3 linked regions of the Arabidopsis thaliana genome follow. The protein of the gene in region 2 interacts with the protein of the main gene of each other region in a pairwise test. Each region holds a gene or a part of one and is shown on either strand. Other genes may lie near its edges.

Region 1 (6,524 bases), on a different chromosome or scaffold from region 2:
CTTCCAGATACCATCTAGTTTCCCCAGATTTTTCTCACTACGTAGTTCTCTCATCTTTTCCTCCTTCTGCAATTCCAGGAGTTCATGGGGTGAAATTTCAGAAGGCGGAATTTCTTCAAAGAATGTATCGCCAAGTTCCACGTCCTCTGAATCTTCATCTGATGCAACAAAATCTTGTCCCGAGGAACTTGAGGGAAGAGCTTTAGTTTGAATTTCCTCAGACTCATAGCTCTCAGCAGGATTGGTATTCAAGGTCAAATTATCTAACATCTGAACAGAGACATCGTCAGCATCAACTGACTCATGAAGGTTATCGGAAATGGGACAGGTTGATTCTTGTTCTGTAGCACTTTCAAAAGCATGTTCACGCTGAAATTCAGATTCCAACATTGCTTCTGATAACCCTGTAAAACAAACTCAAATATCTCATGACATGCTGCACCAAGTTAAATGATTGACTGATTCATTACTAAAGATTAAACTTAACCAAGATCAGATATCTCTTGCTTGAGCTTGCGAATGGCTAGGCCTGCTTGCTCCTGTCCTCTTTTATCACGCTTCTCCTTTGCTTTTATAGCATCTGATCTTGCCGAATAGTATTCTTTGGCAATCACATCGAATGGCCTTGGACCAGAGACCTAGTATGATTTTTGAAATCAAGATATCACAGCAGAGAGAGACATAAAACCAGGAAAACAAGACCAATATGGTATTGTACAACTAATTTGACTGAAGTTTGCAATTTCACATAATCATCATAAACAAATGAAGAAAAGTTCCACTTCTACCAAATGGGAAAGAAAATATATTGATAGCAGGTAGCCACAAAGACTCCAAAAATTGAACCAAATATCTTACTAAACCTCTGCCATAATGGATACGCTTAAGGTAATCCTTTTTTCAGAAAAAACAACAATTCATTAAACAAATTCAAGAGCTTCCAGATATTCATAGTTCTGTAAAGGTCTAAAAAACATGAGGAATATTTACCCTTGAGCAACATGCATGAAAGCTAATATACAAGGACATTGCAAAAGTGTAACCACATAAACATCCATCTTGGAACTGGTCTCACTAAGTAGTCTACCATATTCCATTTTGTTTCGATAATGGAAACAAGCTGAATTACCTTATTTCTGGGGTCAATACCATCTACTTCATCTTCCCAACATTCCAATTCTTCCTGCAAATTTAATTCAATGAGAAAATTCATCCATGAACTAAATTTTGCTTTGAATTGCGCTTCCGGATCATTTTTCTAACTCTGCTTAAGACGTTGTGGCTAGAACCAAAATGTATGAAGCTTTCACAAAGTGATTAATCATTAAAGCATTCTATATGAGTACCTCTTCCTGTCTCATCATATACTGCCGAATCCAATCAGCTTGAGATGACTTGTCAGAACTAAGAGTATCTTCTTCATCTTGCTTTCCCTTCACACGAACAAAAACTGCAGGTTCCTCTTCCTCTACCCTGACTGAAGAGTCAGTAGAATCATTCCAATCGTCCCGTGAGGTCGATATCACACCCACAGAACCTCCTACAACCCCAATAGGAAGGTACAGGCATCAATACACGAGAAGTACAATCATTTACGTGAAGGCAATGTTATGTACATACCTGTGGAAGGAAAACGAGAAGCTCCAGTAGAAAACTTCACAGGCAACTCATGACTCGGCAAATTCAAACAAAGCCAATCAAGTGCAGCCTCAAACGTAGCTCCATCCTTAAACACAAACATACACATTGTATCAGGAATAGCTTGAAGAAGCTAAACATTTTTCAAAATGAAATCGAAATTAAATTCAAACAAAGGCGAGAGAGTTATACTCTAAGAGAGGAGAGAGCGAGTTCAATCTGATCATCAACGAAACCTTCGCAAGAGAGCTTCTCATAGACATTATTGAGTTTCTTTGTCTTTTGAGCTTTGGAGAGAGAATTACTGATTGGAGCTGGAATCGAAGGACCGGAGCGGCCAGAGTTGAGTAAGAGCCGCCGCAAACGATCCTCGTTCTCCGCTGATATCTGAAGCTTAGGACCTGAAGAAGGTTTCTGATAATTCGATTTCGACGATGAAGAAGACGAAGCAGCTTTGTTGCTTTGCTTCTGAGGTTTCTTCTTCGGAGCCATTCTCTTCCGACTAGCCTCCTCTCGTCTCGTCCGATCAAAAAAACGGAACCTGAAAGTCGGAGAAGAATATTAAATTTTGGGCCTCATGAGCTTTATTCTTAAAGCCCAAATGTTGTTATTTGTTTATTTTCTCCCAAATATTGTTCCTCTTTGCCGACCAAAATCCAACCGAACTATCTTTTTATACCGAATTTTGAGAAACCGAATCCGAACCAAACTAATCAACCAAAATTCACTAAAAAGGTCAAAAACCCCAATGTATTTCTATAAAAAAAAATATAGAGAAAAAAAAATAAATATATTAACATGTATATAATAAGTTGTTGTTGTTGTTTTTTTTTCCCAAATCCGAAGCTGATATTCAGTTTTGAATAAACTCAGTTTTCAAAATTTAAAAACTAATCCAATGTTATTTAATCATGGATTTTTAAAACATTTCAAGTAATTTGTGTTAAAATATCAAATCCTCTGTTATTCAATCATTGATTTTAAAATTTCTAATGAAATCCAATATTTATTGAACTAGTGATTTGAAAATCTACTTTAAAATCTCATGTTATTGAAAACATTTTAAGGATTGGATTTTTAGTAATTTTAAGAGACTTTAGTGAATTTTAGTGGATTCCTTAGTTTAAATACAAAAATTTAAATCTCATAGTTTTGTTTTTTTGTAGGCAAATCTCATAGTTTTAAGTGGGATTTGAGAGGATTTTGATTTTATATTTGAGTTAATTTGGGTTTTATATGTTTTTTATATAACAAATTGTTGTTTTGTTGGAAACTTTCAGGTGGAGTTAGTTGAGGAGAGGCCTCTGTTTTTTTTATTGTCTTCTTTAGTCTCTTTGGTATTTTGGTTTGTCTTCTCTTGTTTGTGAGATTTTAAACATTGTCTACAAAATGACACTTTTTAAGTTTAAAATTATAATTGGTCATGCAGTTAGAAGTTTATACTTTTAACGAATACTGACGTTGTAAAGAGATTTGGACAAGACTTAAAACTGATTTAAGTAAACAAAAAGTAGTTGGCAAGTCAACTTTTAAGGGACTTGGTATGGTCTTGACTTCACCTTGACACAACAGTCATCTAGTCTCTGCCTATAATATGCTGTAAAAGCAAAGAAACCAAACCGATTCCACCCAACAAACCAGCAATACCAAATACAATACATTCTTCTCTATCTATAGTTCCTCCATGGATATAGAAGAGATGGAAGGAAATAATCAAGTGGAGGAACATCATGTCGACACTTCTCGTCCTTTTAGCTCTGTTAAAGAAGCTGTTGCCATATTTGGCCAACGGATTATGCTACCGGTACAAACTCATACCATGAACTCTAAATCGGCAAGTCCTATTGCTGCTAGTCGTAGCATCAACCAGAACGCTAAACCAAGAAGCCCTGGACTCAGCCAGACCGTTAAATTGGTAATTCCTACTGCTAGTCCTAGCATCAGCCAGACTGCTAAATTGGTAAGTCCTATTGCTAGTCCTAGCATAAGCCAGACCGCTTCTTCATCTTCTTCTCCATGGAAGCAACGCTCCTTGTTGCCCCCTTCTCCTCAAGGTCCAAAAGAAGAGATCATGGATGTGTTGAAGAAGCTTGAAGCCGAGATAACGGAAACAAAGACAGAGGTGAAGATGTTGAAGGAGAGAGAATCAGAGACAGAGGTTGCTTTGGCTACTTTAAACGCAGAGCTACATAAGAACAAGTCAAAGATAGCGAAAGCCGAAGCTGATGCTGCAGGGAAGAGCGCGGCAGCCATGACGAAATCAGTTAGCTTCAAGGACACAAAAGAGAAGGAAAATGGAGAGGACCAGAGGAGGAAAGAGCTGATGAGGAAGATGCAGAAGGAGTATCCTTCATTGGCTCAGATACTTGACAGTAACAAAGGAAACAGAGATGGGTATTTTGCGAACACTAAGAAGACGAAGAAGAAGAAGAAACCTATCATTCCTCTTGTGGGAGATTTCTTCTTCTTCAAGAAGAAAGGTTCTTCGCCTGAAATATCTGGACCTCTTTACACTACCTCTTCCACCCTGCACTTTTAACTGATATACCCAAGATCATGTACCCTGCAAGTGTATATATATGTATATGTATGTATGCACATCAATATTCGTAATATCTATGTATGTATGTGTTTTCGTGTGAGTGTGTTTGTGTGTGAGCGTATTCTTTATTTGTTTGTCTCTTTCTCTCTTTGTTTGGATTTTGAGTCCAAACCATCAGCGTGTGTTCCCCCTCTACTGTAACAATTACCTGTCAACTATCAGATTGTGAATATACAATGTTACTCTACTATTAGCACTGATTAGATACACAATCCAAAGATTAACTTCTATATTCGTAGACAAAGATAAAGTGTGTGATTATACAAAGTTAGGAAGTCAGTACGAAAAAGGCCAAGTGAGCATACCTTTCTAGAGACAGGTAACTCGCAACACCGAGCCCGTGTGAGCAAAAGGAATTGGTTTCTGGAACCAAAACCCCCGCCAGGTTAGCAAAAACACAGAACAACAAGTGATAACTATTAACAAATGAGTTCTGCAAAGATGTATTATTAAAAAAAGGCTTGTTTTTATTGTTCCAACGGGATTAACAACAACGAATAGGATCCATACAGAAAAGAGATGTAAAAATTACAACAGCACGGAGGACGACGACTGCAGCAGAAAAGGGAAAGAAAAAAAAAAAAGAGACACGCAAAGGTACCAAAAAACTCAGAGATTTACACCAAAGAGTCTTCTTAAAACTTGTTCAGCATATGCATCTTCCTTACCAAAGCATTTAAATCCCGAGGTTTCTCAGGAGCTGACCCCATCTTGGAGTATCCTCATCAAAAATGTAGGTCAAAGGTGAAACTAATACCCCACTGCCTCCGGCCTGCAATAACATTTATGAAAATGACCAAACCAAAAGAGGGAACGATAAACACAGATTTATGTGGAACGTGGTTGGTGCAAAAGTAGAAAGAGGATCAATAAGTTTTAAAGATCGGGTGGGAGTAAGATAATTGAGAAAAAAATGGCAGGGATTACTAAGAGAGAAATGGCAGGGATTACTAACCGCTCTAAGTTGCTTCACAGAGTCGTATAGGGCCTTTTTTGGTACACAAATCACGATGGCATAGTAGTCAACCGATACTTTTCCATTTTGTGTACAGTACACTGGGCTTATTGTCGGTCCCTGCTTGTTATAGACCCCATAAACAATCAGCAAGAACTAAAAAGCTAAGGCTTAAGAACTCCCACATTCTGAAACATTACCTGCAATCCTGACAATGATGGTTGGCTCAGCACACGCTCAGCCACTTCCTGAGCACTATTTCCTCTCATGTTTGCAACAACCTGAAATGAAATTATTAGAGAAAAGAAAGCGAAAGGGGTGAATAAGGAAAACACATCATGGAACCAAGTGCGTACAGTGAATTGGCCATCCGCCTTTAGATGGGCCTCCAATCTCTCAAGAATCTCGTGTACTGTGTTTAGTGCCCCTTTTCTCTCGTTTAATGCTCTTCTACTTGCCACAAGTGCCGCCTGAAATTACAAAGAAAAAAAAAATGTTCAGGAATGATGGCCGCCAACAGATTCTAAACAGACAGTTCATGGATCCAAGAACTTCACATCACCTGGCTTTCCAGCACAACACCTCCTTCAATTTCTTTCAAGTTGTTCTCTTTGAGTGTTATACCACTACTCACAAGATCCAAAATGGCATCAGCTATCCCCATCTAATTAACAAGCACATATGAGTCAACAGATTATGCTGGTAAGGCACAGTAAGATATGAAATCAGGACACTACAAGCTGACAACATTATCCTCCACAGAGCATATCAGTTTAACACTTGTTTTTAGAAAAGAATACAAGCAACTTAATGCCAAATGTTAAGCTTTTCGTTGAAAATCTCACCGCTGGAGCTGCCTCCAGTGCTCCGTCTGCAGTTGAAAACACCACATGCTTTATGCCATTTTCTTTCATAAATTTGGGGCCGAGCTGCAAAAACCAGTTGAATCATTCCCAAATATTATGTTGAAGCGAAATGGACTCTGAGAGAAATTAGATGACAACAGCGCACCAAAGAAGAATCTGTAACTCATCATACATAAGTGAAGCCAGTAGCTAAGCGTAAGGGTCTCTCTTCACTCCATTGGGGCATTTGCGCTAGCTCCTTCAGAGAATTTATATTCTCAAATATCCCATAGTTTGGAATCTGTGACCATTTGAGATACAATCAGAAAACCATCCACGGTAATGACCTGAGGACCTTAACCACAATAGATTAAAGCATACCGCAATAGACAGGTGACAGTCTCCAAAGTTGAGAGCTTCATGGACAATGATAAGATCTTCATTTTCCTAGAAAGAAAATTCAAACATCTAAATTATGATGCAA
Region 2 (8,576 bases):
CTTGAACTGATCATATTAAACATTCTACGCCCCACAGAGTCATAGTTTCATGTGTGTGTAATCTTACTTAGAGAAACAGTTGCATGCTACTGTGATAGGAACCTTTATCTTAATCAATCAGTCAATGCCTCAATTATTTAGGGGAAATTTGATCAATGTTAAAGTAAAAGCCAGCTCCATCATCCTATATGAATATCTTTATCAGTTTAGTAGCTGAAGGTCTCTTTTGAAAGAATGCAAAGTAACAAATTATTCAATTTTTTTTGGGTGAGCGTTTACCTGAGAATGTTGAGCTCCAACACCAGCAGCAGCACCATTGGGTCCTCTAAAGACGATGGGTACATTTATCTGTCCAGCAGACATGTAATTTGACTTTGCAGCGGAATTGATGATATGATCAATTGCCTGAAAGAAGATTACTAGATATTAGGATACACATTGGGAAATAATTAGAACTTTAGTGCACTTTAATGTCCGAAAGAAGATAAAGTGTACGATAACTGGAAACATATTGCACCAGAGTGCATGATCTGAGTAACGCAACAATTATGCATAATCAAGTCAAAGAAAGAGGCAAAATGTAGTATTCAAAGAATATAACAAAAACCAACGCTAACCTGCATAGAGAAGTTAAACGTCATAAATTCTACAACGGGCTTTAAGCCAGCATAGGCAGCACCAACTCCAATTCCAGTAAATCCAGCCTAAAACATGGTTAAACGATAACTGTCAGAAATCTTCTCAATCAAGAAACATGGAAATAAGGATTGAGACTGCAGTACAAGATAATAGTATAAGAATTCCAAACCTCAGTAATAGGGGTATCGTAAACTCTCTCAGGACCATATTTCTCCAAAAGGCCTTTAGTGATCTATGAGTACATGATAGACCTCCAGCATCAGATCAGGGTCAAAACAAGAGAAATTTAACTGGAAAATATCTATTTCCATCAGGTCAAATAATTCTAACCTTGTAGGCACCTTGATATTGGCCAACCTACAATAACAAGATAAAAGATGAGATATTGATATCTGATTAGAAATTGCAAGATGAATTTATCAAACATGTTAGCTGCAACTAACCTCTTCACCCATGACAAATACTTTAGGATCAGCAGACATTTCCTCATCAATTGCAGAATTTAGAGCATCTCTGACTGTCATCTAAACAATGATTTGCACAAAAAATTGTAAGCAATATTACAATATTTTGGGAAATTCCACATACAAGGAGAAATATGTTTGACAAATATTAACAAAGACTGACGGCCGTATCAGCTTTATCAACTATATGAAAAAAAAATTGGGTTCTCGAAACGTAAATTAAAATCTAACTTAAGCTACACTTGTTGGGATTCTAAATGTCACTACACTATTTATGTGAGTCAGCTATCAATCCACCATTTTCAATGTCAGAACTAATGAGAGAAAGCTAATAGGCTTAAACATCTATGCAATGATTATCGACCCTTGCGCTTCTTGGATGCTCACAGTTTACAAAATCAAAAAACATCCAATATAGCTAAACTCGACATTTCGGTGAACACAAAAAAAAAAGTAATCGACATAGTTTGCAGAAGACAACATTAAGCTATCATCCAAAGAAAAAGTTTAGAGTAGAAAAGTGGTTTGGCAGACATTAACAGCTCTAATCATCCTAAATTGACCACAATTATCTTCCAATAGCTCATTAAAACCAAACCTGTATAATAACGCTTCTAAACCATCCGAAAATTCAATAAAAGACATTTTACCTCTTTTGCACCAGCTGCATAGCTCCTAGCAGAAACCAATGCGAATCGCGTCCTCCTAAGAGTCTGATCAAAAACCAAATTTCGAAAATCAGAAAACAAAATCCGAACCTAAAAATCTCCCAAGTAAAAATCTCAAAATCGTAATCGCACTGAAACAAATAAAAGGAGTAAAAAAGTCTCATACCGAAGCTCCATCGATGGCTCTTTGCCTCAAGATTCCCAACATTCTCTCTGATTAACAAACAAAAAGCAACAGTAATCGCAGGATCAAAAGCCCCGTAGATCTAACAATCATCGGAAATTGAATAGAGAAATCATAAATCCGGAGAAACAGAGTAGATCAACATCGGAGATAGATTTGATTACCTGAGCTTTGTACGATCTAACCACGCCGGCGAAAAAGTGAGAGACGGCGGATTAAGAAGAGAGCAGATACGACTCAAAGCGTGAGCGAAAGGGCACTGTTTTTTTGTTGTTGTTCTAAAACACAACGAAATGATTTCAATTAGCTGAATAAATGAGAGAGTAGGTCTTCTTCATCGAATTGTACAGGAGCCGTCCGATTAATATCTGCTGGTCATGATCGATGGTTGACATTTCGTTATATACTTTTTCTTTTCCAATATTATATTATTCCATTTGATGTTGTTGAAGTTTGTAAAGGAAAGTGGATGTGACCAAATTTAATTTGACGTTATACTTATTTTAATTCAGAGAGATTCGCTTTTTTTAACTAACCGAATCCATAAAGATGCAAACCGAATCATAATCCATATCGGTTTAACTTTTCTTCGGTTCAAATGGTTCGGTTCGGTTTGGTTTAAGATTGCAAAGAATCAGCTGGTCATTATGGCAGATGTTGAAGTAGCTATTCTTCTCCAAATCGGTTGTGAACTTAGTGAATGCAGAATCATTCTCTTGTGAACCTGGAGATTTGCAGAAGCTGCAGCTGAATTAACTATTATCAATTTGCATTTTGTGAGATAAAATGGACTTAGCTCGCAAAAGAGCAGAATCAATATGATGTGATATGTTTCTACATTTTAAAGTGAATTTGGAGTCTAATTGTAGTTTTGTAATCTGAAGTGCTAATTAGTTCAAAACTCTGACAAAGAAAAAAAGAGAGCAAAACACTGAATTCATAGTCTCTCTCTGTTTCATGGTTGAACAGCAGAATCAGTACTGTTAGTTTCTTTCTGTTTTCTTTCAGCTTGAAGGGATCTGCAAAGTGATTCAAGCTTGTCTTTCTGTTTCTTTGTCTTCTCCAACAGTTTCTTCAATCTTTCACGCTGTTCAAGGTCAACCAAAAGTGTGATTTTACTGGTTTCATAACCAAAATCTACAAACCCTTAAAGATAGTGAGAGAACAGACGGTTTTGTTTTACCTCTTCGACGAGTTCTATGAGAGTGATATCCGACTTCTCAGTTTTGTTTTTCAAGAATGCGTTTTCTTTTCTGAGTTCTTTGATTGCTTTTGACATCTACTCAAAAAACCAATAGAGACAGGATCAAGTTAATAAGATCACATAAATAGCACTTATGATCTTTCAAAGAACCTCGAAGGTATAAAACTGTTATTACCTTATCGATTTCTTGTTTGAATGTTTCAAACACCTCATTGCTCTTAACCAACGCGTCCTGCATAACCAAACAGCCTTTCACTTTACAGTCTTTTCATATAATATCAGTAAAAAACATATCTTAAGAGAGTATTGTATCACACCCAAAGCAAGCAATCTTATTATCTGTGATCACAGTGCATCGAGAAAACGATTAAGACTTATTTAGGAAGTGTAAAAGGGGAAGAGAGCAGACCTGGAACTGCTGGAATTTATCTCCATCAGAAGTCAGCTGCAACCGCAAATTTTTCTCAGTAGACAAAAGCTGAGAAACTTGATCTGCGTAAACTTTCATCTGAGATTGTTCATGGATGAGTTTCTCCTCGTGCTGTTTAATTTTTAAAGCAGAGATCTGTAGCTCAAGTGTTTTCTGCTTCAACTGTCCATTCGAAAATGAGATGTTGTCAAGTAGACATCGCAGTTAAGCCAATTATTTTGGCTAAATCATGCTTCATATATAGTTGGAAAAAACGAATAATTTAATTACCCTTTGCTCATGTTGTTGTTCTGAAAGCATAAATTGATCAGCCAGGTGCTTCAACTTCGTCCTTAACCTGGAGATTAAGAAACAAACCCATTGTAATTAGAATGGACCTTTATAATATGTTACTGAGCTGATACAAGCAAAGCCGTTTTAAAAGCAATACACATGTAAGAATATAGTTTCCAGAATGTGGGCGAGCATATTCATACTGTATTAACTTAAACTGCAACAAAACTATACATATATAATAAACATACTATAATTTTCCTACTCCAAATGAACATGTTATGATTGAGTTCTTTCCGCTTACATCTCATTTTCTTTGAGTTGCGTGAGGCTTTCATTCTTTTGCTCGTCCAACTTAATGCTCACATCCTATAAACAAAAGAGGATTAGGAAGGTAGAGAGCATAAGAAAAAAATCAATCAAATAAATTCTGATTTTGTTTTTGTAAGTTTTTGATGTTGCAAAAGCCTGCAAGCAATTCATCAAACTTAGTTCTATCAATCTGTAACTTGAAACCAATATGGACAATTTTCTACTTTGTTTAGTTCCAATTATTTCCAAGGACTAAATTTTAGTGTAGATCGGTACTAACATTTGCCAATGTCAGTGTAGAGAGTTTCAGAAAGAAGAAAAAGATATTGCCATGACTGTCCAAAGCATATAGCACGGAAGATTAAAGGAGATAATATCCTAAGAAAATATAACAAGGATCAATAAATGATGTGCATTTAAGATTTGCATACTTAGAAACACAAAACAAAGCTATTATCCAATACTTGTTCCTCTCTAAAACTGCCAATACCGACGGCAAAATGGCTCAAATTTCTATATTCAGCAAAGATCAAAACCCTGGGAAGAATTCACATCGAAAGAAAAATGTGTTCAACTTACCATTATAGCATCCTGGAACTTTGTCGATAAATCCGATCTTAAAGTCTGTCCCTCAGTTGAAACCCTCTTGCATTCTTCCTGTTATACAAAGGAACATTTAGTTTACACACCAAAAGGTTAGTTCCTCAAAACAAGACACACCAAGTAGAGTAAGCAAGAAGAAAGAAAGAACAAACCATTAACATTTTGTTCTGACGTTGTAACTCTCTACAAAGTGATTCAAGCTTGTCACGAACAGTAATAGCTACGGTTAAAAACAATAATGATGAGTACAGACTATAAAGCATTAAACGATGAAGGTAACACAAAACTAGTTTGGTTTTATTGATATCCTATTACCAGAATCTCTTTCAGAAAGGACTTGCTGATACTTGAGCATAAATTCCAAAAACTCTTTCTCTGATTTGAACATATTCTTTGAACCCTTACGCTTGCTCTCAACCACCTCCTGCTTTCAATATCATCAGCACACAAATCAGATACATCATCTTCAACATATATTCTTCTCAAAGCAACAAGATTGAAGAACTCATCAAAATACTGACTTGTTTTTTGGGTTTGAGTGAATCCATTTCCTTAGACAAGGTTGAATTTTGAGTTGACCCTTCTGACACTAACTCAAACAAAAAGCAAAGAAACAAACTTTAGGTTACAAAAGAAGCAAATTCCTATAAAGAAATTAAGCTTCACATTTTCACTCACATGTTTGAGAAATAGGAGGAGAAGCTTCTTTTTCTTTCTGCTCGAACTCTAACTCAAGCTTGATTGATTCTTGAATTAGGTCAGCTACTTCGTCATCTTCATTACCATCAGTTTCACACAACGGAACCGGAAAAGTTCTTGGCTTCTCTGTTTTCTCGATCGCAACAGTTTCATGGTTTGTTGTTTCTTCCTGGGTCTTGGGAGAATTGAGAGGCGGCTCTGTTGCGCCGTCGACGAATCCATCGGGTAAAGAATCGACTTCAGGGAGCAAATTCGAGTGCGGTGACTCCATTTTTTGAGTCTGGATCTGATGAAACCTAATACGAAGAAAACCCAAATATCTTACAACAATTCTGATAGGTAAGTTTAAATTTGTTCTTTCTTTTAGATTCGTTTGTAAAATTTTATTTGGTATAAAATCTTAACAATAAAACCAAAAAAAAGAAAAAAAAAATCTAATTTTGACTAAATTAAATGTTGTTCGTTGTTATTCAATTAATAACTTTAAGTGTTAATAATTGATTTCTTCATAGAAATGTTGAAATAAAGTGTTATTGGTTTTTTAAATTTGAGTATCATCATTATCACGTGACTTTGAAATTCAATTTTATTTGATTAATAAATGTTTGGAAATGATCAACTAAAGAAATGGTGTTACATTCAAGTTTGATAAATTCTTATTGATGCTTCGTTTACACAGAGAAATGTCAATTCGAACCGAAAGCATATAAAAATTTGGTCTCGCAACTTAGACCAACTTCAATAGTAATTTTTTAGTAGAAACTCATACAATTAAAAAAATATATATATTTAAAAGTTAAAAAAATATATATATGTTTTAGAAACTACATGAATTCTATATGCGGGAGGTACTCTTAGTCATTACTGACAAAGATCTCAAATTGGGCTTAACTCGGATAAACATGATCATAAACAAATTTAGTTTGAAAACCATTTTTTCTTTTTTATAAAACTCAACAAAAAAAAGTTAAAAATTTAAGAGGCCATCATTGATAAAACTTTCAACTAATTAATTTTGTCTAAATAAACTTTCAAATTATCAAATTTGAACTTGGTTATTAATTAACTAATGGTCAACGATAATTTTGTTCTGAATAATATACCGTTTTTGACGACATATTAATATAAACTCTAAAAAATAAATTAAAAATTGTATTTTAGGATTTGTAATTAAGATTTTTATCTTTCCTATTATGACTAACACTTGTGCATTCCGAAAACAAACGGAATTCACAAAGTTCAATTACTTACACCTTTTAGTGTGTTTTTTCTTCTATAATTGCAGTTTCCTATATGTTACTCTAATTTTATTTTCATTGGTTAATGTAACAATAAATTTGACATTTAGACAACACTTTTTTTATTGCACAAGTTCAATTAATTACATCTTTCCACGTGGAAAAAAGTAAATTCGTCAAACACTAACTTAATTATCCTGATCAAAGAAAGCAAAGGTGAAGAAGAAGAGGTTGTACAAATTCTGAAACAAGCGTCTCTTAAAACAAATCAAAGGTCTAAAATCGTAAGGTGGTTTTGATTATTCATCGTGATCCCGTACGTACACCACACCATTCTTACTTCAACAAATCAGTCAATGCAAAGATGGCAAACATATTTTGATCGATCACTGGCTCGATTTCTCTTGCACCAAACGAGAATGAGTGTTTCCCATGCATCCTCCACCTGCATAGCACGGCGCAGTCACATTTGCTAAATACTTCCTCGGCAATGCGATTCCGAACCTCTTTCCTCTTCTTTCTTTTTTCTCCTTTTTGACAATGCTTCCGTCCTATAGAAATACAAATATATCATTGTTAGAGATCCTCATAGATCAAATAATCAATAATGTGAATTAATGTGATTGACCACCTCTTTTATCTCTGTCGTGACGCTTTCGGTTTCCATCGACTTTCTCGCGTCTTCTACATCTTTTTCTGCAATAGTGAATGGATAAATTGTTTCAATAACGAAACTACATAATATAACAAGCATTTCATATATAAACATATATATGTCTCTAACAATGCATGCATCCATATACAAATACAAATAGTAAATGATTTATACATGTATATATGTGTGTTTGTATAAGAACATATGATTTACCTTCATCATCATCATCAGAAGGAACATCGACGCAATAAACCCTAAAGCTTGGAGATCCAGGACCAATCATTCTCTCATCAAAGTTGTTGATACTCCCTTCATCAACATCATGATTCTTACCATCATCTCCTTCCTTCTTAACATTGATGACGACCACATCATCATCATGATTTTCCTCCTCTTGCTTCTTCACAACCTCTTTATTTTCCTCCTCTTGTTTCTCCACAACATCTTGATGATGATTGTCCTCTTCTTGTTTGTTCACAACTACTTCTTCCTTCACCTCTTTAACATCATCTTTGGATGGAATCTTTTCATAAATAACCTCTTTCTTCTCTTCTACATTATGATCAGGCGCCGGAGCAACCTTAGCGGACGCCTTCAAGCTACCGTCGTTCTCCTCCGTATCTTCTCCGTCCTCGGAAGAGTTATGCCTAAGAAGCTCTTTCTTAGACAACGTCTGGCTCCCTTTCAAGACGCCTGCATGGCTCCGTTTCTTCATCTCCTCTAACCTTCGCCGGAGAAGGGGACGTATTCCCGCTGGAAGTGGCACAACCCCGCCTTCTTCCGCCCTTGTCGTCGCCACACCTCCAAGCCTCGAGCCACCGCAACCCATATTAATATATAAATAAACTAACAAATTGATGGTGTAATCGCCGCCACCAAAAAGATCATAAGGTGGCCGGTGGGTGGCCGGAGAAGATTTTAGAAAATAGGCAAAGGAGAGGAGAGAAGAGAGCCAATGAGTTGGGAGGATGATGAATGAATGATAATATTTAGGAATCCGAGAAGAAGAAGCGAGAGAATGTGAGATTATTAAAGGGTTGAGATTGTGTGATGTTGATTGGTTAGTTACGATTTGTTTGCTAAATTTGGTAAATAGTGATTTATTTAGGCAAATACATGAGTTGGTTTAATTTTTATCTAAGTGACATCTTCATTCTTATTGTCATGTGTGACTATTACCGTTCGTCTCTAATGAATTTGCAGATAA
Region 3 (7,615 bases), 6.3 Mb from region 2:
TAGGGTGATCGCCAGTTATATCCTGATATGGCGGCGTACCACTGTATTGCTGTAACACTTGGGCAAGCGGGTTTATTGAAGGAGTTGCTTAAAGTAATCGAGCGTATGAGGCAGAAACCGACTAAACTAACTAAGAATTTGCGGCAAAAGAACTGGGATCCTGTGCTTGAACCTGACTTGGTTGTATACAACGCTGTAAGTGAGCATTTCCGAGTTTTAAACTTCGTTTAATATCTATATGCACTATGCAGCGAATCACTGTATCTTATTGCTGTGTGATCAATTCTTGGCTTCACTGGTTCCCAGATTCTTAACGCTTGTGTTCCAACACTCCAATGGAAGGCTGTTTCATGGGTATTTGTAGAGTTAAGAAAAAATGGTTTGAGGCCTAATGGAGCTACATATGGGCTTGCGATGGAGGTAGCGTTCTTTTTTCCAACATAAACGAACTGCTGTGGTGTAGTATTTGTGGGTACCCTCAAATATGTAGGGTGGTCTTAAGATGTCATTTTGACAGGTTATGCTGGAGTCAGGGAAGTTTGATCGTGTTCACGATTTTTTTAGGAAGATGAAAAGCAGTGGCGAAGCTCCAAAAGCAATCACATACAAGGGTAAATATTGATTCTCTCTGTATATTTAGGTTACTTCATTTTGGTATCTATAAGGTGATATGATTCTTATAGCGTATGATTGATTCTCAGTTCTTGTCCGAGCTCTCTGGAGAGAAGGCAAGATCGAAGAAGCTGTTGAAGCAGTCAGAGATATGGAACAAAAGGGAGTTATAGGAACGGGTTCAGTTTACTATGAATTGGCATGCTGTCTGTGCAACAACGGGCGTTGGTGCGATGCAATGCTCGAAGCAAGTTCCCTCCTACTTTACCCTTTTTGCTTCTCAGAGAAACCCACAAAATTAACTTTCTTCATAATTCATTAATGCAGGTGGGGAGGATGAAAAGACTTGAAAATTGCAGGCCGCTCGAGATTACCTTCACAGGACTCATAGCCGCTTCATTGAACGGTGGTCATGTTGATGATTGCATGGCTATATTCCAATATATGAAAGATAAATGTGATCCGAATATAGGAACTGCGAACATGATGCTTAAAGTTTACGGAAGGAATGATATGTTTTCAGAAGCTAAAGAATTGTTTGAAGAGATTGTCAGCAGAAAAGAGACTCATTTAGTTCCAAACGAGTATACATACAGCTTCATGCTTGAAGCTTCAGCTAGATCACTGCAATGGGAATACTTTGAACATGTGTATCAAACGATGGTTCTTTCTGGTTACCAAATGGATCAAACAAAACATGCATCAATGCTGATAGAAGCATCAAGAGCCGGGAAGGTAACAAATCTTTGTCTAGTTTAAGTGTTTATGGAAGCATAAGCTGTTGTCTAATTTTGTTTGTTAATGCAGTGGAGTCTTCTAGAGCATGCCTTCGATGCAGTACTTGAAGATGGAGAAATCCCTCACCCATTGTTCTTCACTGAACTGTTGTGTCATGCCACAGCTAAAGGCGATTTCCAAAGAGCTATCACACTGATTAACACTGTGGCTCTCGCATCTTTCCAGATTAGTGAAGAAGAATGGACTGATCTTTTTGAGGAGCATCAAGACTGGCTTACTCAAGATAATCTTCATAAGCTCTCGGATCATCTCATTGAGTGTGATTATGTAAGTGAACCAACGGTCTCAAACCTCTCAAAGTCATTGAAATCTCGATGTGGGTCTTCTTCTTCTTCAGCACAACCATTGTTAGCCGTAGATGTAACAACTCAAAGTCAGGGCGAAAAACCGGAGGAAGATTTGCTTCTGCAAGATACAACAATGGAAGATGATAATAGTGCTAATGGTGAAGCTTGGGAATTTACAGAGACTGAACTCGAAACGTTGGGTCTAGAAGAACTCGAGATTGATGATGATGAAGAATCTAGCGACTCTGATTCACTTTCAGTTTATGACATTCTGAAAGAATGGGAAGAGAGTAGTAAGAAAGAATGAAAATGCTTGTAAATTTCCTCAAAATCTTTAGTAGAACAAAATCTCAATTTTTTTGCTTACTCATCTCACTTCAAAATAGTTTCAAGGTTACTAAACAGATCATCCACATACAATAAAAGATCAGTTATACAGAATCTCAGATTCGGAGAAAGAACATACATATGATCAAACTGCGGATTTACACTGTTACTAACCAAAAAAAGAGAGCAGATAGGTTTGGAAACTTAAAAAACTCTGCAGGTGATGAGATATCGCCTGATTCAAGATCGGCACTCTTAAGAAACCAGTAAACCCACTAAGTATATATATTTTATGGCTTGCTTTGTTACAGAACTTCCCCATGATGGCTATTTCTTTCTGTTTCACCAAGGATGATTACGGATCCTGAACTTCAAAGCTTTCATGGCTGCCTTTGCAAATATCTGAGCAGCTTCAGCTTCTGCTTCTGCTCTTTCTGCCTCTTTTGCTGCTTGTTCAGCCTCTGTGATAGCAAATTCTGCCTCTGCAACTGCTCTTGCTGCAGCCTCTGCAGCTTCTTGAGCTGTCATGCCTTTTATCATATATAATTCACCGTCTACTCGGAATTTAGTGAGACTGTTGGCACCGTTCTCCTCGGGTTTTGTTGGGTCTTTCTTGTTGTTTCCTTCCAGAAAGAGTTGAGGAGCCTTCTGTCTTGCACCTGCGGGAATAAAATTAGAAGAAAACCTGTACTTGTGCTTTATCTGAAAGTGAGAAATCACCAAGTAAGTATTTTTGAAAATTCTGAGAGTAATGAAGTGTTAGTGATCATGAATCTTGAATCAAAAGTTGTGTGTTTACCTTAACTAATGTTCCATTCGATGATAAATGCTTTAATCGTACTGCGACATGCCTTTTCATATTCGGTGGAGTCTTGAAATTCTCCTGAAATTTAACAGCTACTAAGTAAGTATGCAACAAACCCCAACCAAACATGTAATCCCAATGGTAGAAATACCTCTATATACAGAAAGATTGATGTTCTGTCAGAACCGCGTAGTTCCCTCAAGTTGGTAATTGCCTCAAAGATGATCTTATCCAAACTACAAAAACAGACAATAGCGCAAGATCAAATCTTTATGAACTCAAGAAAATCGTTATGTGGTGCATAAGTCAGGGAACCAAACCTTGTAATTGATCTCTTAGAAGCACAAGTGCGTGGTGATCCACCACCAGAACCTCCGGGGGAAGTTGGTTTTGCACGTTCATCATCATTAGTCAAAGCCACAATGGTAAGAGCTGTGTTGTTATCATCCTGTTTAGTACCTGGTGGAGTCCTCTTAAGCGCAAGTTTAGCCTTCTTCCTTGAACCCCATAAAGCTGTCACGCTTATATTTCTCCATTTGTCCTGTTATGCCTTGAACTATCAAGATTAGTCCGAAACACGCGATCACAACCTCCAAAAAGCATATTATATTGTATTACCTTAAGATCAACATTAGAGCGAGACTTAAGGATTAAACTAAACTCAGTATCCGAGAGTATGGTACGCCACTTCCCAGTCCCATGCTTAAGAACTCCAGCTTTAAGAGCTGCTTCTTCTTCCGGTGTCCACTTCTGCTTTGGTGCACCCATCCACAGTTATCAATATTTGAATTTCTTCTTTTCTCTGCCAATAGATGTGAACGCTAACATTAGAATCTGTTAAATCGTACGAAACTTAACCACATCAAAGCCATTGTTGAACATTTCTTATCCAATACAAAATTTTGGTCATCTAAATCCAGCAGATACACAAAGCCACAACATAAAAATGTAACTACACAAATCCAAAGAAATTAGATACGCCCCAAAGCTCAATTCAACAAAAAAATGAGTGATTCGAGCAATCTCGAACCAAAAAAAGAGGATCAAAGCCCATTAACAACGTCGCAAATCAACAGGAATTTGGAAATACAGCCATCAATCTAAAGCGATAGCTAAATTATCAACCAAATTCAAATGGGGCGATCGTAGAAAATTAAAAACAAAAATGGAAAATTCAGAGAAGGAAGCAGAAAGGAGGAAGGAGGAGAAGAAGCATGCCAGATCAAACGAAACCAAAGGAGAGTTTTCGAGAGAGAGACTTGATGATGAAAGCTAATTCCTTGTATAGATGTGTCATAGATCAAATGTGATTCGCTGAAACGAACGAAGAAGAAGAAGACCAGAGAGGCTAGCATAAGGAAGAAGAATATCCATAGAAACGAGAAACAAACTTGAGCTTTTCTTTTGTATTCAAGCTAAGGAAGATGTAACCCTATATTTCTCCACATTCACAAATTTGCCTCAAGTTTATCAAATTACACAATAAAACCTACCAACTAAATGAATAGGATCAAGCTGAATAAAATATACTAGTACTATTTTTTAAAAATAATGTATCTATAAAATTTATCGTTGTTAAATCTCACAGATAGTTTAGGGGCTATTAAAGATTTTTCATATAATAGTAAGACCGAAAGCGTAATTTATAAAATTTTGATGGCTAGATTGAAATATGTGTTTTTTTTTTCTTTCTAAAATCTACAGAAGTAGAAGAAACCAAAGCGAAATCAAAAAGCTCAGCAATTTTCCAGATTTCTCTAATTGACGATGGCGCTTTGTGCTACTACTCAAAGGACTATCCGTATAGCGGCGACGCTCCGGCGTGTTGCTCGACCTTTCGCTACTGACGCGGTGGTTGAGTCGGATTACAAGCGTGGTGAGATCGGTAAGGTCTCCGGAATCCCAGAGGAGCATCTTTCTCGCAAGGTAAATAAGCATTCGATTTCTTACGAATTCAGTTTAGAAAATTAGGGTTCGTGATCAGAGAATCGTCTTAATTGAGCTACATCGTGTTCTTGATTTGATTTTGGTCAATCGAATAGTGCTAAGAGTATTGAATTTGGAAATTAACAGGTGATAATATACTCACCTGCTAGAACAGCTACCCAGTCAGGATCTGGAAAACTCGGAAAATGGAAGATTAACTTCGTCTCCACCTTAAAGTATGCTACTTTTTGATTAAGATAATCCTCTTTTCCTCACATTTTATGTCCTAATATGATTCTTATCCTTAAAATTCCTATCTTTTCAAAACTTAAGTCTTCTGCTTGTGACTAGTACTAGTCCATCACTTGTTGATTAGATTTCGATTGACATCACTTATCTATGGCATTCATATGTTTCTAGGTGGGAGAATCCGTTGATGGGATGGACTTCTACAGGTGACCCCTATGCTAATGTTGGTGACTCTGCTCTTGCTTTTGATTCTGAAGAAGCTGCTAAGTCTTTTGCTGAGCGTCATGGTTGGGATTATAAGGTACGTTGTTTCCTTCTTCGTTTTTAGCTCATTTTTTTTTCTGGTCGCATTCACTCACATTTTATGAGAATGTGATGGTTCTGTTTTTTTTTTTTTTCGATCACCATTGTGATGGTTCTGTTTTAAGATCCCTTAATATAGAATTCAGAGTACTGAAAAACTTACATCTAAATCATTGCAGGTCAAGAAGCCCAACACACCATTATTGAAGGTTAGTAACTATCTTTTTGCTAATGCCGCATTATGACTTACGAGCTCTACTCATATGAGGTGTTTAACCCTAAAGCTGGAGATTCACTGGAACGACCCTTGAATGTTGTGTTAAATAGATAGGATATTCTTTAACTTAACTCATATTGCTTCATCAGAAATGGTTTGGTGCCTCTAGTTTAAGATTTAGCTACTAGTTTGACGAGCGATAGTCTCTTTCATTCCTTTGATTTATTTGGTAGAACATTCTTTAGATTGAAGTTTTAACCTAACCCCATGATTGTTCATCATCTAACATCTAACTGCAGGTCAAGTCTTACTCGGACAACTTCAAGTGGAAAGGCAATCCTCAACCAGAAAACTGATGTTACACCTTCTTCCAATTCTTCTCGAGCAAAAGAAGAAACCTCATTTGATATTAATTCTCATGTTTCTTTGTTATTTTAGCATCTGTGAGCTTTTTGGTTGAAAAGAACCATTATCCATGGCTATGTTTACTTATTACAATAATATGATGATGATGATGAAACACACTCCTTTGATATTTCATCAAGATTTCTGATCACTTCTTTACTGGTTTATTTCGAATTCGTGTGATTGGATTATGAAAGAGAGAGATAATTATGGTCGGAGTCAATAAAACATAAGATACCAAAATTCGAATTGAAAGAAGATAACAACAGAAGAAAGATTGTTGAACATTACATAACATATATGAGGAAATAAAAGTTGACTGAGGCAACGTATATAATTATCCTCCGATCAGAAACATGCATCCAAGAGACAGCAACAACAGAGCGCAGCCAAACTGTGACGTATTTATGAACAGAGCAAAGACATATATTAACTAATACAGTATTATTCCACTAAAACCTAAATACAAAGCAAAACAAGAAACCAAAATAAAGTTAATATAAAGTAGAAAAGATGGGATCAAGAACGTACCATCCTTCAAGCATACCGGCGTTTTGCTTCTGCTGCGGAGCTTGAGAGTACTGCGGCGGAGGATAACCTTGTGCAGGGTATCCCTGAGCATATCCTGGCGGTGGATAACCGGCTGGAGGATAACCGGCCGGAGGATAACCGTCCTTAGGTGGATACCCTTTAAACCGAAATTCAAGAGCAAATTAAACAAGCAGATCGAAGAAGATAAACCAACTATCCAAAACTAAAGAAAAAGAGATAATACCTTGGGGAGGAGGAGCACCGACAGGATGTTGTTCTTGATGATACATCTTTCTTCTTCTTCTGAGTTCTTTGAGCTTTTTTTTCTTTCTCTCTTTGTTTAAAAGCAAACTCTGTTCCTTTCCTTTATAACGAAGCTATGCCGGTGAGGAATAATGATATATACTTTTAATTTAATAAAGGAACCAGAAAATAAAGGAAATATTCTTTAAATAAAGTCTTTCTTGCATCATAAAGATTACGATTAAATTTCTTTGAAAATTAGGTGATCTTCTTCTAATGTGCTAGAAACTTGACCGTACAAGAATTTAATTTCAACTACTCTACTACTAGAATCATTAATTATGGAATAAAAATATCAGAAAAGGGGTTCTTAGTAATCATAAATTTACACTGTTTTAAATTCTAACTCCAAAATGCTGCATCATATGTTTCAAATTCAAAAGAATTAAGCAAATTATGTCAACAAATTGACAAAAAAAAGTTTAAGTTACTATGAAGTTAAAATCACTATTTGACACATAATTTACCCTCTTCTTTTGCTAATACAATGAATACATTTCCGTCAATTTTTCAATATCCATCGTTATCCTTGTACTATCATAATAGGAGAAGAAAACCAAATATAATACAACTTCCTCGCTTGAATAAAAGTTTGAGAGAATTTCAGAATTCGAGAAAAATATGAGTTTTATCCACCCACATGTTAGTCCATATTCCCATGTCATAGATAATCATATTGTAATATTCGAATATTAATATCCATACTAAAAGATTCACATCACCATGAAAAGTTGAACCCATTCAAGATCATAAAAGGAAAAAGAATGCTCATTGCATTGTCTACACACAAACATGACGCAACCTAAAAACCCAATTAGGATCGTTACAACAAATCGTGGTCTCATCCACAAA

What was found. Proteins that work in one complex are often made in the same cells at the same time.
Region 1: the proteins of AT5G50840 (region 2) and AT1G58070 interact in a two-hybrid assay, tested with the Arabidopsis thaliana proteins (one large-scale study listed by BioGRID).
Region 3: the proteins of AT5G50840 (region 2) and TRB2 interact in a two-hybrid assay, tested with the Arabidopsis thaliana proteins (one large-scale study listed by BioGRID).

What each region holds. Positions count from the first base shown.
Region 1 is NC_003070.9:21,499,646-21,506,169, forward strand, and holds AT1G58070 (WEB family protein), read left to right. Parts: upstream 1-3,259; 5' UTR 3,260-3,322; coding exon 3,323-4,177; 3' UTR 4,178-4,433; downstream 4,434-6,524. Other genes in the region: AT1G58060 (RNA helicase family protein), read right to left, coding at 1-404, 488-638, 1,130-1,183, 1,347-1,540, 1,621-1,726, 1,831-2,130; ATP-PRT1 (ATP phosphoribosyl transferase 1), read right to left, coding at 4,917-5,012, 5,196-5,315, 5,396-5,476, 5,552-5,665, 5,758-5,859, 6,041-6,124, 6,234-6,341, 6,422-6,487.
Region 2 is NC_003076.8:20,683,074-20,691,649, reverse strand, and holds AT5G50840 (alpha-taxilin-like protein), read right to left. Parts: upstream 5,833-8,576; 5' UTR 5,748-5,832; coding exon 5,456-5,747; intron 5,367-5,455; coding exon 5,299-5,366; intron 5,205-5,298; coding exon 5,093-5,204; intron 4,998-5,092; coding exon 4,930-4,997; intron 4,832-4,929; coding exon 4,754-4,831; intron 4,232-4,753; coding exon 4,167-4,231; intron 3,927-4,166; coding exon 3,860-3,926; intron 3,752-3,859; coding exon 3,569-3,751; intron 3,392-3,568; coding exon 3,335-3,391; intron 3,235-3,334; coding exon 3,139-3,234; intron 3,043-3,138; coding exon 2,911-3,042; 3' UTR 2,728-2,910; downstream 1-2,727. Other genes in the region: MAB1 (Transketolase family protein), read right to left, coding at 280-405, 618-704, 809-871, 970-996, 1,083-1,163, 1,754-1,816, 1,938-1,979; AT5G50830 (nuclear polyadenylated RNA-binding protein), read right to left, coding at 7,101-7,265, 7,343-7,410, 7,583-8,198.
Region 3 is NC_003076.8:26,953,477-26,961,091, forward strand, and holds TRB2 (Homeodomain-like/winged-helix DNA-binding family protein), read right to left. Parts: upstream 4,299-7,615; 5' UTR 4,048-4,298; intron 3,632-4,047; 5' UTR 3,598-3,631; coding exon 3,448-3,597; intron 3,371-3,447; coding exon 3,150-3,370; intron 3,066-3,149; coding exon 2,981-3,065; intron 2,908-2,980; coding exon 2,824-2,907; intron 2,727-2,823; coding exon 2,367-2,726; 3' UTR 2,092-2,366; downstream 1-2,091. Other genes in the region: DG1 (Tetratricopeptide repeat (TPR)-like superfamily protein), read left to right, coding at 4-195, 307-420, 518-611, 702-859, 940-1,347, 1,420-2,004; FRO1 (NADH-ubiquinone oxidoreductase-like protein), read left to right, coding at 4,597-4,755, 4,903-4,991, 5,176-5,305, 5,487-5,516, 5,824-5,880; WIH1 (cysteine-rich TM module stress tolerance protein), read right to left, coding at 6,278-6,323, 6,461-6,617, 6,705-6,750. UniProt on the Arabidopsis thaliana protein: Binds preferentially double-stranded telomeric repeats, but it can also bind to the single G-rich telomeric strand.